Arabidopsis thaliana: one gene and its partners. The protein of the gene in region 2 interacts with the protein of the main gene of each other region in a pairwise test. Each region holds a gene or a part of one and is shown on either strand. Other genes may lie near its edges.

The links. The genes of interacting proteins can lie anywhere in the genome.
Region 1: the proteins of ARF18 (region 2) and IAA33 interact in binary tests that used the Arabidopsis thaliana proteins (3 or more experiments, as listed by UniProt).
Region 3: the proteins of ARF18 (region 2) and IAA18 interact in binary tests that used the Arabidopsis thaliana proteins (3 or more experiments, as listed by UniProt).

Annotation. Positions count from the first base shown.
Region 1 is NC_003076.8:23,267,662-23,271,592, forward strand, and holds IAA33 (indole-3-acetic acid inducible 33), read left to right. Parts: upstream 1-2,252; 5' UTR 2,253-2,362; coding exon 2,363-2,799; intron 2,800-3,219; coding exon 3,220-3,298; 3' UTR 3,299-3,431; downstream 3,432-3,931. Other genes in the region: GS1 (Haloacid dehalogenase-like hydrolase (HAD) superfamily protein), read right to left, coding at 3,857-3,931. UniProt on the Arabidopsis thaliana protein: Aux/IAA proteins are short-lived transcriptional factors that function as repressors of early auxin response genes at low auxin concentrations.
Region 2 is NC_003074.8:22,885,392-22,892,449, reverse strand, and holds ARF18 (auxin response factor 18), read right to left. Parts: upstream 4,562-7,058; 5' UTR 4,280-4,561; coding exon 4,234-4,279; intron 4,183-4,233; exon of another isoform or gene 3,963-4,182; coding exon 3,847-3,962; intron 3,764-3,846; coding exon 3,665-3,763; intron 3,595-3,664; coding exon 3,538-3,594; intron 3,447-3,537; coding exon 3,294-3,446; intron 3,216-3,293; coding exon 3,131-3,215; intron 3,044-3,130; coding exon 2,953-3,043; intron 2,874-2,952; coding exon 2,709-2,873; intron 2,619-2,708; coding exon 2,505-2,618; intron 2,433-2,504; coding exon 2,360-2,432; intron 2,272-2,359; coding exon 1,792-2,271; intron 1,711-1,791; coding exon 1,523-1,710; intron 1,413-1,522; coding exon 1,271-1,412; 3' UTR 995-1,270; downstream 1-994. Other genes in the region: AT3G61829 (uncharacterized protein), read left to right, coding at 5,128-5,259; AT3G61826 (uncharacterized protein), read left to right, coding at 5,727-5,819. UniProt on the Arabidopsis thaliana protein: Auxin response factors (ARFs) are transcriptional factors that bind specifically to the DNA sequence 5'-TGTCTC-3' found in the auxin-responsive promoter elements (AuxREs). Could act as transcriptional activator or repressor.
Region 3 is NC_003070.9:19,302,518-19,308,018, forward strand, and holds IAA18 (indole-3-acetic acid inducible 18), read left to right. Parts: upstream 1-2,563; 5' UTR 2,564-3,152; coding exon 3,153-3,424; intron 3,425-3,700; coding exon 3,701-3,996; intron 3,997-4,079; coding exon 4,080-4,212; intron 4,213-4,415; coding exon 4,416-4,483; intron 4,484-4,578; coding exon 4,579-4,613; 3' UTR 4,614-5,001; downstream 5,002-5,501. UniProt on the Arabidopsis thaliana protein: Aux/IAA proteins are short-lived transcriptional factors that function as repressors of early auxin response genes at low auxin concentrations.

The DNA.
Region 1 (3,931 bases), on a different chromosome or scaffold from region 2:
CTTCCACCTCCGGCGAAAACGGCGGCGTGAGCAAACGATGAAACAGAGAATCAATTCACAGGAACAGATCTAATCTAAGCAGAGAGAGAGAGAGAGCGAAAACAAATTCAAAAATCAAAAATATCTGAAACGGAATGTTTCTGGAGAAGAGCGAAAATAAAAGTTTTTAAAACCTTTTTCACTTTGCTTTTTATTTCAGTAATAATAATCAAAAGGATTTGTTTTTGTGATAATGAGCTTTAAGGAAATGATCCTGTGAAGAGACACCTACTGGCTTCAGTGCTCCTCCACGTGATTTTGACGCGCCAACTGTTTAGGCTTTAAGAGAAGGAAGAATGTGGGCCCATACTGTTTTAATTGGGCCTATTAAGGCTTTATTGAGCTGATGTGTAAGGCCTGTTTAGACTTGTGCTAATGTTGGATGAGCATGACAAAATGATTATCATTGTTTGGTTAGAAACAGACCAAAACAGCGGGTAAGTGTTTGATTGTTATTTAAATTTTGATTATTATCGGGGAGTGGAATAAGCAAACATTAACGTATGTCTGTAGAATCGAAAAAAAACAAAAATCGAGACAAATTAATTAGATGATTAAATATAACATGTAGACGTAGTAATGTGTTAAACTATAGTCCTAAATTGAGATCTATGAAACCGAGGTAAGTTTTAAATATTTCCATGCCTCCATGTCGGATCTTCGAGTCTTCTAATTCGAATCCCGAGTTGAAATTTAAATGTATAGAGTAAATTATTGTTTGCTTCAAACTTAAGAAAATATGCTTCTTGTGCTTCGTTTTATGTCTTCTTGGGTTTGCTTTAGCTTATTCACCTATTGCTTGTTGGATCCACCGTTAATTTTTCATTTAATAGTCCATATGAAAATCAACATTTTAGCATAAAATTACAATTTTAGGCACAGTTATTTGACTCATACATGATTTACCTATACATTTGGTCACTCAACTTAATTATTTGCGATTTTAAAATCGTGTATAATGTTTTAAAATGACTTGAATTGGAATCAACTAATTTTAGGTAGCTCGAACAAACTTGTTATTTATTTATTTTCAGATAAGTTCCGTACACCAAAATCTATAACCGAAAAGACTTTGGATTATATTGTATGAGTTTAGAGTGCAATTCTTCTTTTTTTCCCTCTTTTTTGATCTAAGAAATTTCTAATTAAGTTCACATATTTTCTTGGATCTAATCACTCTAAACAACTCCTCCCAAATAACATGAGTTTTCATTATTATTAGAGGGGTGATGTCTACATTTTGGACCAAGGTCTAATACTTTGTTTTACTTTCGTCAAACCGAGTTAAATCCGAGAAGTATGAGATCAAACGTTAAACGTATTCATGTGTGTGTATGTGATGTTACATGGATAAATGGCTATGCATGTATATTCTATATGACGTTGATGTGTGGTCGTGTGGATATATGCGTGTGTTTACCGGTTAATACAATTTTTATATTCTTCGTATGTATGCTTGATGTGTGTATTAGTGTATGAAAAGAAAATGACGTGGAACTCCCGACCAGGCGCGAGTCAAGGAAGCGAGGCGTTCGGCGACGGCAGCGCGGTCGTCTCCGCAGCCCATGCGTTACAATTTACAAGATCTCTTTTTCTATGATACCTTCTTTCATTATTTAATTAATCACCAATTTATAATGTCTTTAATTAATTTGGAGTTTTCTAGCTAATTCACATTTCTTATTATATTGACTCTTTTTCACTGTTTTTATGTTTTCCCATCAGCTTTCTTTTTGTCCACGTAAACATTTCCAAACATTTTTATTTTAAAATTTCTTTATACTTGTATACATAAATACCTAATACCTTGCTGGTAATATATGGTCAAAATTAGTGAAACCTTGGAACATTTCCTGTAACAGCTCTTATTACTCTCACAGTCGCAGTGATAGATATATAGTAGAATAAGTTAGCAAAATACAATAATTGTAAAAACACATTTAATACATAAGCATGTGAGAACATTTTTACGTGAATCCAATTGTTCATTGAATAATTAAATATTAAATTGATTGTTAATTGAGGATTCATTGTCTAACGAGAAATCCAAAGAGCAGATGTACTTTCAAATTAAATGAAACATTTAAGACAACATTAAACCAAACGAAAATTGAAAAATGAAAAATAAAAGACACCTTTTTGTTTGCCACACAATTTACGCTTTCTCTATCTATTTATATGTACATACATTCACTTTCACCAGAATCTCATCAAACACACAGTCTCTCTCTAGCTTAACAAAAAAACACGAAACACTTTGAGTTCCATGTAAGCGTCCGTTGTCTTCTCTAAGTTACAAAAGCCCTAAAACCCTACTCTCAATATGAATAGTTTCGAGCCACAAAGCCAAGACTCTTTGCAAAGAAGGTTTCATCAAGACAACAGCACCACACAACAACCTCGTGACACCACGACACCTTTCATACCCAAACCGGCTTCCAAAAACCATAATAATAGCAACTCCAGCTCTGGAGCGGCCGGGAGATCATTCCAAGGCTTTGGGCTTAACGTAGAGGACGATCTTGTTTCATCGGTGGTTCCTCCGGTTACGGTTGTGCTAGAGGGACGTTCTATATGTCAACGCATAAGCCTAGACAAGCATGGGAGTTATCAGAGCTTGGCTTCGGCTCTAAGGCAAATGTTTGTCGATGGAGCTGATTCAACGGACGATCTTGATCTGTCAAACGCCATTCCTGGCCATCTTATTGCTTATGAAGACATGGAGAACGATCTCCTTCTTGCCGGAGATCTTACTTGGAAGTAATTTTCCTCCCCTAACATTAATTTTCTTTATTATTGTCAGGATGGCCATATATATACAAACTATATATAAAACGAGCCTTATTTTAAACATAGGAAAACTATATTAATTTTTTTTCCCCTAACGGTAAAATACTACAAACACAAGTTTTTCAAGCTGCCAAGAAAACACATGTTCTCTGCTTTTCTAAAAAGACAAATATCAATAATTTAGTGAAATGATATTTTGTTGCTATCCTTATTCTGTATACTCAATTTTGCTGGCTATAGTTATTTTGTTTGATACCGTTATATATCTTTCTTAAAAATTACGGTTTTCGTTCAATGTTTAGTATAATTAGATTTTGAAGGTTTCGTGATCTTTAACTGGCAATATTTTAATACTTGGACGTTAACGAGAAAATTTGCTTGTTGACACAGGGACTTTGTTCGTGTAGCGAAGAGAATTCGAATCTTGCCGGTCAAGGGAAACACAAGACAAGTTAAAAGAAACGAGTGAGGAGGAGAAAGACCGTTTTTGCAACGATGTCATACGATGTTTTGTAACAGCCGATGTCGGTTGAATCCTAATGGCATTACTGTAAAATCATCATTGGATGTGTTTGCTTCTTTGTTCACGTACGAAATGAAAAATAAAAAAAAAGTTGTAATACTAAATATAACCTATTTTTCTTAATTATAGTGTAAAACATGAAACGTTGCAGTAACAACACATGTTAGTGATGCGTAAAGAAGAGAGATTCCAAACCATAAAGAAGGAATCAATTCAGCTATACCGACAAGAACAAAATAAGATAAGCCAATGTTGAAACTTGTGGGTAAGAGTAGTTGTACAAAAATAATTTGTTTAAACGTTGAGGCAAATTTTTTTGTTTGGTCTCTCGTCATGTCACCACTTAGTTTCTTTTTATGTCTTCAATAGCCAGAAAATCATAGAACCCTTGACGACATAAAGCCTCATGGCCTTTGTCATGTACATGCCAAAACAATATAACAAGACAAAGAATAAGCTTCATGATTTGAGTTTTTATCATTACCTTGAAGACGTTTGTATCGTTTAGTTCGAATCTTCGAATGGAGGCAAGCCCCACTCTTCCGGTTTAAAATCGACTAGAGAGGTTATGATTTGATC
Region 2 (7,058 bases):
TATAACCATTCCTCGAACTGAAAGTCAAACCCGTACTCTTTGGTTGAGGAAAATTAGTCAGATTTAATTCGACTACAACTAAAACTACGATCGTGTTTAATTTTGTTTTCTGTCACCTATTAATTTCTTAGTATATGTATGAAAATTTAAGTTTTGTTTGATTTTATATTAATGGAGTACGATATTTGTAGCTCATACTTTGAGTATGATGGTCCTATGGATGTTCGTTTTGTATGATTTGTTCGGACTGAAACTTTATATCATTTATAAAGGTAGAAATGTTTTTACAAATCTTTTATCCAAACAGAAAAATGTTTTTTTTTTTTTTCTATACTACAGCTCCAAAATCTATTCAGTTTAGTTAGCTTGAGGCTTTTTTGGTTTTTGTCAAAGTAAAACAATTTCTCCATACCAAAAACAATTAATCTTTAGCAAAAAAAAAACAGTTGCTCCATACTACATAAGTACATAACCACCACCAAACCAATACTAAGTTTGAAAATAATTGTATTGTTTTCTTCTTCATTATAAGGCAAATCTGAATTAAAAGTTTAAAACAATATTTTTTTTTTTGACAAATATCAACTACAGTATACACTTCATATGTGACTTTATCCGAAAACAAAATAGATTTTCTTTCTTTTGTCATTTGCATTTTATTAAAGAAAAATCTGATGCAGCTAAAAGGTTTGGAAATTAAAACTTAAGAATTTTTATAGAGAACATCATGGAGACTTATTTTTGGCACGATAACATGAACTTCCAAAGTTTAGTTTTCATTTTTTTCGATTTCAGTTCAATTTTCTAATAACACTATATCCTAGAAGTTCATTAATCCACAAATATTTTTACCAACTCCAAAAGAGAATCTTAACTAGTCGTTTGACTCCTTTACTTTTCCATGACTTTCATATGATGCCCGCCGCGTTGATTTCCACGCCTTCACGTATTTTGTATTCTTCTCTAATACTGTAGTTTTTTTTTTTTTAAGCCTTAATTATTGATTAGAAATATAATCTTTGAACCCATAACTAATTGAATGTACTTGGTTTTGAAAATTGAATGGTTATGGAACAAGTACATACACATAAAAGATGTAAAACCGCCCCATCAACCACTGTCCCAAAACCGAAATATTAAATCGCCAACTTGAAAAATTGACATGAAAAAGAGGACAAGACTTTATATACACAGACTAAAAAAAAAGTCTTTAGACACTTACGCACTAAAACGACGTCGCCGAATTAACCTTAATTAACAGCTAAAACTCTCACCCCCTACTACGATTTTCGAATGATTCATTACCATATTCCTCATTCTCTAACGACGAAGAAATCTTCAGTTTCGTTGTCATTTTCTTAACCTCATCGCTCGAATATATAAATATCTTCTTTGCCATCTTGCAAAACTCACTGCACAATCCCACACAACAGAACATTGCAAAATCAGTTCCGGTTTAAGTTCACATTTAACTGATTTGAGCTAAACCGGAAATGTTTAACTCTGTTATTTTAGAACTTACTTCCACGGATCATCACCAGCAAGCATCATATCTCCTTCATCATCAGTGAAGACAACGATCCATTTGTCTCGGGCAAGAAGCTGTCCTTGAATCTCAAACATCTCCTCAAGCTCATCAATCAGTTCATCGTAAGATTTCAACAGTGTTAAATCAACCGCACGACCAACCGCAATGCCTTGCATTTGCACCTTTTTCAATCCAAGATCAAAGAAATCAGATTTTCAAAACATTGTTGCTATGTTATTATATGAGTTGATAAAGAAAATTACTTTAGTTCGACTTCTTGATGTTTGTTGCTTCTTCTGCTCACTCATTGAGGTTGGAGTGATGGGTTCTTGACACTTGGCAGCTCCACAAGTATCCATCGGTTGCTTGTCTTGAGGGATTGGAGCAGGAGAATTGCTTGTGAGATCAAATCCAAACAACCTATAGCTACAATTCGTTGGAGGAGGAGGAGTCTCGGGTTTGAAGCTGTTGTTTGAGGAGTATCCACCTGAAATTCTCTCAAGTGATGGATCTTGAAACAGTTTAAGGGATGCATTAATGGAATCTTGGCTCTGAGGGAGGCTGTACAAGAAACTAGGTGGGGCTGGTGTTTTAACTGATGGCTCGATGGGTCTTGACCGCTTGCATTTCGATTGTGGTTGTTGAGCAGGAGTTGAAATTGGGGAAGTTGCCAAGAAAGGCTCTATCTCCCATGGTGAGACTTTATCTGGTCTCTGAACTGTTGTTGGCTCATCCCATTGTACCTAAGAAAGACCAAGACAAAAACGTTATATAAAGACCACGTAATAAGTAAAACACTAAAATGTAAGAACGTGGAATGGTTAACTGAACCTGCAATGACCTCCATTTAGAAGCTGGCCATTGTGAAGATAGATCTCCACTTCCCACAATCGTACCAGTAAATCTGAAGACGTTCCAGGTTTCAGAATCAAGAACACTGACAAAAAAGAAATGATCAGAGAAAATGGATTCTTACATTCTCTCAGGAGACTCTTCTCCTTCAAACCTCATTCTGAATCGGGTACCGAGAGAAAATCCATGCTTTATAGCTTCCATATACTTGTTCACCCCAACTATGAATTGGCTTATCCTGCAAAGAGAGAAAACTTTTCTTCAATCAAAGAGTCCTAAACCATCTATGTATATAAAGCAAAATCATCTAAAGAACATTACTATATACCTAGGCTTGTAAAAGACAACAAAGATTGTTGTTGTACGCACAGCATGAGAAGCTGTAGCAAGAACTCCCAAATGCATGCTCTGACTTGAAATAACCGAAGTAGGCATTGTGCTTTGATGCCGAGCTAATCGTCTCACTCCAACCCGTAAATCCCCATTCTCACCCCTGAAAAACACAAAGGCATTACATTTAGGTTCATGAAACTAAACAAGACCAGTGAATAAAGTTTCAATTTCAAAAGTACCTCAAGAACACAAAAGCATCTCCAGCTACAAGTCTTTTCGAGGATACAAATGTACTCCAACCCGTAGTAAGCAAATGCCTCCGTGGTTGTCCTAAACCAAAAACGGCACTCAATGAGTCAATGTCTCATTTAGTCCAAACACAGTTTCACAAAAACACACCAAGATTAGAATCAATACCTCTGAATATATGCTTAAACCTCCATTCAAAGCCATGAAGATCTCTAGTCACAAGTTCTTGAGTAGGAGTAGCTTGTGTCATATCCTAAAAAGTGTAAAATTGGAGTGAGAATTCAAGCTAAAGTTTCTTGAATTGAGAAGGTTTCTTTAAGAATATATTTACCAAAGAAGGCAAGCATTCAGTGGCGTGTTTACGAAGAACAGAGAATCCACCATGAGTGCTTGTATCTGAAGCCGTTAAAATCTTAACAAACGAATGAAACTCTTGCTTAGTTGGTCCAACAATAGGTGGATCAAGACTTGTTGGTTCACTTTGCTGCAAACAAAACAGTAAATTGAAATCAATTCCAATCAATATAAATTAACACTCACTGAAATAAAGTTGAGTTTTTTTTTTAAGAACTTACATCTTCCTCTGGTTGTAATGTGATCTGAGCGTAAACCTCATCTGTTTCATGCTCCGCCTATAAATCAAAATTTAGTTAACAGATTCAGGGGAAATAAAACATTTTAACATTTATGATCCAACTTTACCTTTAAAGTGACATCAAGAACTCGACAAAGTATCTTTGGAGGAAGATCAAAAACAGGTATTTCTTCTGAATTGATTCCTTGATTAGTTGACGCCACAAGCTGCAAAAAAACCCAGAATTTAGAAAGAGAATGGAAAAAGAAAAATTGGGGTAAAAAGAGATGATTTTTGGGTGGGTATATACTTGTTCCATGTGACCCTGAGGGAAGTAGAAAACTCTCTCTTGAGCACGAGGAACTTCCACTAATGGACCTGCACAAACTTTCCATAGCTCTGTGTATAGTTGATCTTGATAAGACCCTAAAATCAAACAACAACAAAACCCTAACAGTCACATTTCCGCGGCAAAACTATAACAAAAATGTGAACTTTGAAGCTATACGAGAAAAATAAGAAAGTTGGGGTTTTTTCTATTTCTTTCTAAGCTCGTCTCCCGAGAAAATGAAAGAAAAAAAAATCGAAACTTTACAAAGCTGATTTTGATTCTACAGAGTAAAACCCCAAACAGAGTCACTGTTAGAAACAAAAAAAAAAACAAAACTTTCTAAAGTCTCAGCCTTTTACTACTCACTTGACGAAGAACTTCCGAAATCATCATCACCTTCAACACTCGCCATTGAAGAACCCAGATGAGAACTGGAGAAGAAGAAGTAGAAGGAGAGGAAATGAAAGAAAATAGAAAGAAAAAAAAACCTTCACGCGGTAAACACTAGTCTTAACCCCATGAAAGAAACACGAGAGAGAGAAGAAAGAAAAGACCCATCAATGGAGAAAATAAAAAAAGCAAAACTTTATAAACAGGACACAACGGACGGTTATGTCCGTATTGATTGCAGAACGTAATTCAGGCACTGTTGGATAAAACTAAATCTCTCCCCTTTTTTTTTCCGTCAGCCACGAAACCGATCTCTCTCTCTCTTCCTCTTAAAATCTTTTTTTTTTTTTGTCTTCTCCTTTCCTTTCAGATTCCGTGTTGTTTTGCTTCAACAATCACAAACTTCTCGCCGTTTTTATCCCGATCCGCAGCAAACCAAAGCTGCTTCCTTTACTGAAGAAGTCTCACAGTATCATGCACATACATATATTCACACTCTCTCCTTCTTTATCTCTCTCTATATATCAAAATATAGAGAGACTTTCTCTTAGTTCAGATCCTGGAGACCTGTCATTTCCACCCACAGTAACTTCAGTTGAATCTCCCTATTTTTCTATTCATTTAATTAAATGTTTTCTAAAATTGTTGTTTTTTGTTTTATCATGTCATCGCTAAAAAGGAAACTCAAATATATTAAATGCGCTAAAATAAAACAAATTGTATTCAAAGGCAAACGAAGGGTCACGCGGCGTTTTGGGAATTGCTTATGAACTAATTACATTTTATTATGTAAAAAAAAAACGTACGGTGCATTTAAAGGAGAGGGCAAATCTCAGCCGTCCGATCAAGACGATAGTAATAAATAAGCTTATGACTTTACTCTATATCCCTAAATTGCCCTTTTTACTGATGACCCCGTTGCCGTTAGCACTTGACGGTGCCGTTACCCACATCGTCTTGTGTCTGGATCGTGGCAGGCAAACGTGTCGGCTTCTCTATTAAACCCCGGCCACATTTTCTTTTTTCCGTTATTTTTTTTTTTTGTGTAACATCAGATAGATTGTTTTTTCCGTTACAGATTTAATTTTTATTTAACACTGTGGAATGTGAGTTAATTACACATTATGCCATTGATCGTTTTTTTTATTTAGGACCCACAAAGGCTATGGCTACACCCACACTCGCACAAGGTCACAGCCATGACTCTTTATGGGACGAGCGTCTTGGGAAGCGTGTGAGTTTTATGTTACCACGTGCCGAGTCAGTTCTGAGTCGCTGGTGTTCATGCTGTATTCTTTTTTTTCTTTCACGCGCTTTTAATCTTAGCAAATCAAAAATCGAAATTATTTGAAAAATTCATGTTTACGGATTTCATATAATTATCGTTAATTGCTTTTATAGAAGGAACTTTTGAAACGTCAAATTTAAAAAATTAAATCGGATAGAGGTGGGAGACACGCGCTTAGTAAATGAGAATGGTGAAGAAGAGTGATAAAAAGTTGAGAAAGCCATGCCGAAGTGTCGGAGGAGAAAGTGGTCCCCACATGGACACGTCAGAGTAAGAGAAATTGCCACGCTGTTTAGTCGTATTCATGACCGACACGTGTCAAATGCTGACTTGTCCTACCAATTTTGCTCATTTACAGAGGAAATTCTATCGCTATTTTTCTTATTTTATTTTATTTTTCCCAATGATAGTGAAGAAAGACTATGATCCAAAAATATTATTGCGTTTTGATTTGTGTACACCCTTGTATTTAATAAAATTTGCAACACGAATCAATGTTGGCTTGTAACCACCCGATGAGACTAATGCTATCACTCGATACTATTTGGGTTTCAAAATCTTTTTTATAGCTTAAGATTTACCTAGAAAACGTCGACGATATTACATAGCCTTACCACTCTTTTTTACTTACAAGTTTGTATAATCATAAGTTCATAGTATTTTTATGTTACCATATACGAGTATTTATTTCCACTCAAAGTTATAGTGTAGACTGTAGAGTTCTCTCGCTAATTACATAAGGCCTACAAATGTGTGTTGTTGATAGTGAAACACTATTACAACATTCAAGCTTCGTTGATGAAGATTATGTGGCCGCGTTACAAGACGAAATATAGATGTGATGTATTATTGATTGGAATCATATATAGTCTCACTTCTCTAACTAGCTGATAGAGGGGTAAAAAAAACTTTTTTGAATCCCACCCAACAAAAAAATAATTAAAATAGTGCATATGATTATTGTACGGACAAATCCTTGCAAAGCGGAGACGAGATATGAAAGAATCGAATTTCATCACCAAAGGTTGAACTAAAGAGTGAAACATAATTTTAGAAAAGGTAATAGGATGATATTACCATAAATATAACGGAATTAAAATAAATTTAACAATGATTCTTATCCTGCATGAGATTTCATGCTTGCATATCTCTCACAATAATATACACCTAAAGATGATGCCAAATTTGAACGTCATTTTAGTTGCGTTCGTTTTTCTTGGGTGAAAATTTGAATATCTTTTTTTAATTCAATGACTAATTTAACGAGCTGCTGCGGATATTCTCTCTAGTTGAAATTATTTATACACACAAAAGGTTCAAATAGTAAAATAAATAAATAGGATTACGAATATGATCATTCAAAGTGAATATGAACGCATGGATGGGAATAAATAACTATACATTAGTTAAGTATTTTTATTTTTAAATTGCGTAGTGGTTTAGTGGAATCCATTCCACAAAATCTTTTAATTTTGTTTATTCTTCTTAATCACTGTTATATTCCATTGATATA
Region 3 (5,501 bases), on a different chromosome or scaffold from region 2:
ATTCGATAATCTTATTAGGTGGAGCCTTATCAAATACGACCCATGAAGATTGAAGAGTATCATTTATGATTTTACCACAACTATTGCTTTTTCCTCAGATTTGACATTAATTTCACGATTTGTTTTATTCCTTTTCACTTTCTTTTTTGGAGTCAGCTATCTTATTAATTGGTGTACGGTGATAATCATAGCCGTTGGTTGTGGTTTGTTTTGAGTTTCAACGGTTGGGATTGAAAGCTTATCAGGAGATCTAAAATCTGAAACTGTACAACTTTTGTCTACCGTCCAGATAGAGAGAAAAGTACTGTCAAAGTCAGAGAGAGATTCGGTCTCTAGTCTCTGTTTTACTCATCTATATTGCCACGTGTCTTCCATAAACAAAAAAGAAGATCATCAAAACGCGCGATCTACCAAACACTGTGTACACGTTTAATTACACAGTAATTACTAATCACAATAGGTGTTTCTTGTTAGACGGTTTAATAACTATAATTACATAGGGTTTAATTTAACACATGAATGATTTAAAATGGAGAAATTAAGGAACCGTGATTAAGGTTGTCTGTCAGTCTTTGTCTGCAGCATTGTAGCCGATGAAGGAAGAAATTTGGGAGTTTGGTAATATGGAGACAAGAAATGACCTCTGATAATCCCATTTTTATATTATAAAATTCCCAAAATACCCATCTTTACTTGACCAAAAACTCACAACGAGTTTGGTAATACGGAGACAAGATTTGACCTCTGATAATCTTGTTTGAAAATTCCCATATTACCCTTCCTTCCTTGACCAAAACTCTTACCCGACTCTTGGTTGGTTCGGCTTTTCCGTCATATCGGTCTCACACGTGGAAGAACCATGTCCGATGGTTCATTATTTTCAAAAGCTTACTCTTTTTTTTTTGGTGTGGCAAAAGCTTACTCTTTTAAATAAGATTGAGTTTTTTTTTTTGGTAACATACGCTTCTTGTGATTAAGTTCATTTAAAGCAACACAATAATTCTTGTGTTTTTTATTTGCATGTAAAGGTAGACACAAAACTCGAATCTAAAATCAATAATTTTATTTGTTTAGTGACTGATTTGAAAAAAACGCAGAATAAACTAACCTGATTAAAAAAAAAGAGAGTTTATATTGGAGCTTACTGAATTCTATCGATCTAAAGTATAAGATGACAAAAAATTCCTCGTATCATTTGGGTTTAAATATATGATGGGATGGTAAATGGTAATTAAAGCCAATAGTAATAATTTATAAAATAATAACGACAAAACGAAATAAAGGAAGAAAATTTGCAAGAATAACTAACAAAAACTTATAAATTAAGAAAGTAACACAAAACAAAAAAACAGATATACTCTCTATATTATATATAATAATGGTATATTTACCCATTTTTCTCCACCTCATTCTAAGTCCCTCCTTCTCTCTTCACCTCTCATCTCTTTTTCTTTCTTCTCTCAATCTTTTTTTTTTTTCTTTTTTTGTATCACATAACAAACAAACGAGAAGGACAAAATAGATTTTTCAGATACCACTTATGTTATCTGGTTGCTTGAGTTGCCAAGGTTGTATCTTAGGGTATAGTTTTTCTATACATCCAAAATAGTATAGTACAACATTTTATTTCTATCCAAAATAGTACATGTTTTTACTTACAAACACTATTTACTATTTTATAAATTCAAATCCGATTTTAAAAATTCAAACTATTTTGTATGTAGAAAAAATATAGGTTTTTTCTAATAAATTTTATAATTGGAATTTATTTTTTGGAAAAGATATATAACAAAAAAAAAACAAATAGGTGAAAAACTAAACTAAATGTTACTAAATCATTTTACCTCCAATTCAACACTAAAATTGTCTTTTCCTTATCCTTACATGCTATTTTCTTAATTTTTATATATATGGTACTATATTTTTAATTTGTTTGTCAAATATGGTTATTCAGCTAAATCACCCAATAGAGACTCAATAGAGACTGAGAGAGAGAAAAAGAAGGGTTTCTCGTAAAATCTCCAAATTCATTTGAACTTTCCCAAACATTGGAATATGTGTAAGTCCCATAGGAGTAGGACAGAGTCGATAGGGGTGTGATCCTAACATACCAGAGAAAGATCGTCGAATCCTCCATTTCTTTTTATGGCAACCATATTTTAATTATATACTACTATTTATTAATTTAATTGGGTGTGATTTTTACTTCGCGTAATATAAATATGCTTTTTCTACATTTTCCCAATAATTTTGTAAAAGTGTAAAGTCTCTACAAAAACATTGTTTAGTCCTCCTTTTTTGGTCTAAATATTTGTTTAGTCCTATATCCATATTTTGTGACACTACTAGTATTATAAAAACATAACAAATTCTCAAGTTACACTTCTCGTTTTGTTTGGGTCAACCACACAACACCACAAGTTTTACTTGTACAAAGTAATTGTTTGTTTATGTTTTTCTGTTGTATGTATTTTTTTTAATTGGTCAAAAGAAAATATGTTTTAAATAAAAAGGTGAAAAAAGGCCTATGGGATTGGAATAATAAGATAGAAAACAAAATAGCATGCTTTGCTTCCTCCACTAAACTTCCTTTAAGGGCAGAGAGAGAGATAAAAAGATTGATTGCGTGTGTTTCACACCAATAAATCCCTTTATTTTTATTTTTTGGTCTCCAAATTTACTAACTTCTAATAATTTCCAATTTTACCCCTTATTTTTCTTCCTTTGGTTTTAACCTATTCACTGCATTTCCTTGGTATAAAATCCAACTTCTTCTCCTTCAAGAATCTAGAGATAGAGAGAGAGAGAGAACACAAAGTGGGAAAAAAGATAAGAACCCACCATAAAGTTTTAACATTTTTCCCTTCAAAAGGCGAAAGCTTTTGATTTGTATAAAAGTCCCACTTAATCACCTCTCTAGCTTCTCATTCCATTTCCATCTCCTCTCTTTTGTTTTCTAAGTTGCTTCAAGAGTTTTGGATAGTGTAGCAGAGAGATTTTAACTAATGGGTTTATAAAATTTTGTTCTTTTGCGTGAACAAGTTGTCAACTTCTAGACAGATTTTCTTTTTGAAGTGTTTTCTTGTCGAAATTCTTCTTCTTTTGGTCAAAGAACGCAAGATTCTTCTGTAGTTCCTCTAAAAAAAATCCTAATGGAGGGTTATTCAAGAAACGGTGAAATCTCTCCGAAGCTGCTTGACTTGATGATTCCACAAGAGAGAAGAAATTGGTTTCACGATGAGAAAAACTCTGTTTTCAAAACAGAGGAGAAGAAGCTTGAGCTAAAGCTTGGACCACCTGGTGAAGAAGATGATGATGAATCGATGATAAGACACATGAAGAAAGAACCAAAAGACAAATCTATCCTCTCTCTCGCTGGCAAATACTTCTCTCCTTCTTCCACCAAAACCACATCCCATAAAAGGTTTTAAACTTCTCATCTCTTACTTTTTGTTTTTCTCTGTTTTGTATCCTTCTCACATGATGATATTCACTTGTTATTAGCCAATAAGGTCCCATCTATCTGCATAAACTTTGTTCTTGTCTGCTTAAGATTGGATCTCAAAACTTTTCATCTTTTTACCCTTTTCCCATCTGAAAGTTTCAGTCTTTTTACTGCCCTAGTTTTCCTCTGTTTTTAACCTTGAGATTGTTCTTGTCTTACTAACAAGTTTTGTTTTGATGCCTTTGTGTTTTAAAGAACTGCTCCTGGTCCAGTGGTGGGATGGCCTCCGGTTCGATCCTTCAGGAAGAATTTAGCTAGTGGAAGTTCTTCAAAGCTTGGAAATGACTCAACCACCTCCAATGGTGTTACCCTCAAGAACCAAAAGTGTGATGCTGCTGCTAAGACAACAGAACCAAAGAGACAAGGAGGCATGTTTGTGAAGATCAACATGTATGGTGTTCCCATTGGTCGTAAAGTTGATCTCAGTGCTCATAATAGCTATGAGCAGTTATCTTTCACAGTTGACAAGCTCTTCAGAGGTCTTCTTGCAGGTAAATTTGAAACCTTTGTCTCTCTATTGATTATGGTTAAAAAAGGGTTGAATTTTGAACTCTAATTGTTCTTATTTTATCAGCTCAAAGAGACTTTCCATCATCCATAGAAGATGAAAAACCAATCACTGGATTATTAGATGGGAATGGAGAATATACTCTTACATATGAAGACAATGAAGGAGACAAGATGCTTGTAGGAGATGTTCCATGGCAGTAAGAATCTTTTCTTTTCTTTTTCGTTTTTTTCTGAATCTGAGTCAGCTTTTTGTTCTATCTAAAGGAGAAGTATTAGATTCCTAGTCACATATTTATTATATCTTAATCACAGTTTGATTAATAACAAACTTAGTTTGGTTAAGCTATTAAAGATTGTGGACTTTTTGATCACTAAAATTGATTATTTCTTAAATTGTCAGAATGTTTGTGTCTTCGGTGAAGAGGCTGCGTGTGATTAAAACTTCTGAGATTTCTTCAGCATTAACATGTAAGTGTAGGATTTTAATAACATTTTTTAGTTGTTTTGGTGACTCTTTTAAGTGAAGTTCTTAGAATGTTTTTTTGTTGTTTTGAAATTTGCAGATGGAAATGGTAAGCAAGAGAAAATGAGAAGATGAAGAAAAAGATCTTTTACAGCTTTTAAAGAAGTAGAGAGATGTTATTAATTGCATTTTGCCTTTAAACTTTGATGAGTTTTTGGTCTTGGAAAAGTTTCTGATATAAGTCTGATGTACATTCTGGTTTGTTACATCTTCTTTTGGCTTTTGAGATATCATAGAGTTTTGTTGGAACTCAAAGACCAAACAGTGCAATGATGATTTTGGGGTCTTGAGTAAATTTACAAACCCTTTTAGGCATATTATAATAGTCTTCTGTTTTTAAGTTTTGGTAATGATTATTCACACTTGATCAACACTTTTAAGTAATGTAACTCTCCCTATGTCAGCAAAGCATCCTTTTCGAAAAACGGAGAAAAGAAACAATCTTTTTCTCTGCCAAAAAGCTCTTTAGCTTTTATTAAATCTATACTTAGGGTATCCGCTATTGTAATGAACTATGAGAGTGAAAGGTTTTAAAACATTGAACAACTTTTCTTTAAATGAGCTGTTAGGACAGATATTCAAACCATTGTCTAACCACATCTTTCATCTTTGTCTGGACTCTTGGGCAACAAAATTACAGACATCATTAGATTATCATCTTCTGATTATTGATCTACATATTTGATAATACTTGATATGATATAGTTTCTATGTATAATCATCTCTAAATTTATGTTTCTAGTTTAGCTTTTGTGTTTCGTAGAATAGATATATAAAATAAAGGGTTGTTCATAAGCATATGTATTCATACGATCAAATCGTTTAAAAGGAAAAAAGGAAGAAAAAATTGGTGGGTATGGAATATTGATAAAGAGAGTACAAAATAGAAAAATTGAAGAGAAGTCTTTTTCGTTGAGAGTCTTGCCTAACTATTCGAAGCAGCAATATGAGACCTTATAGTTA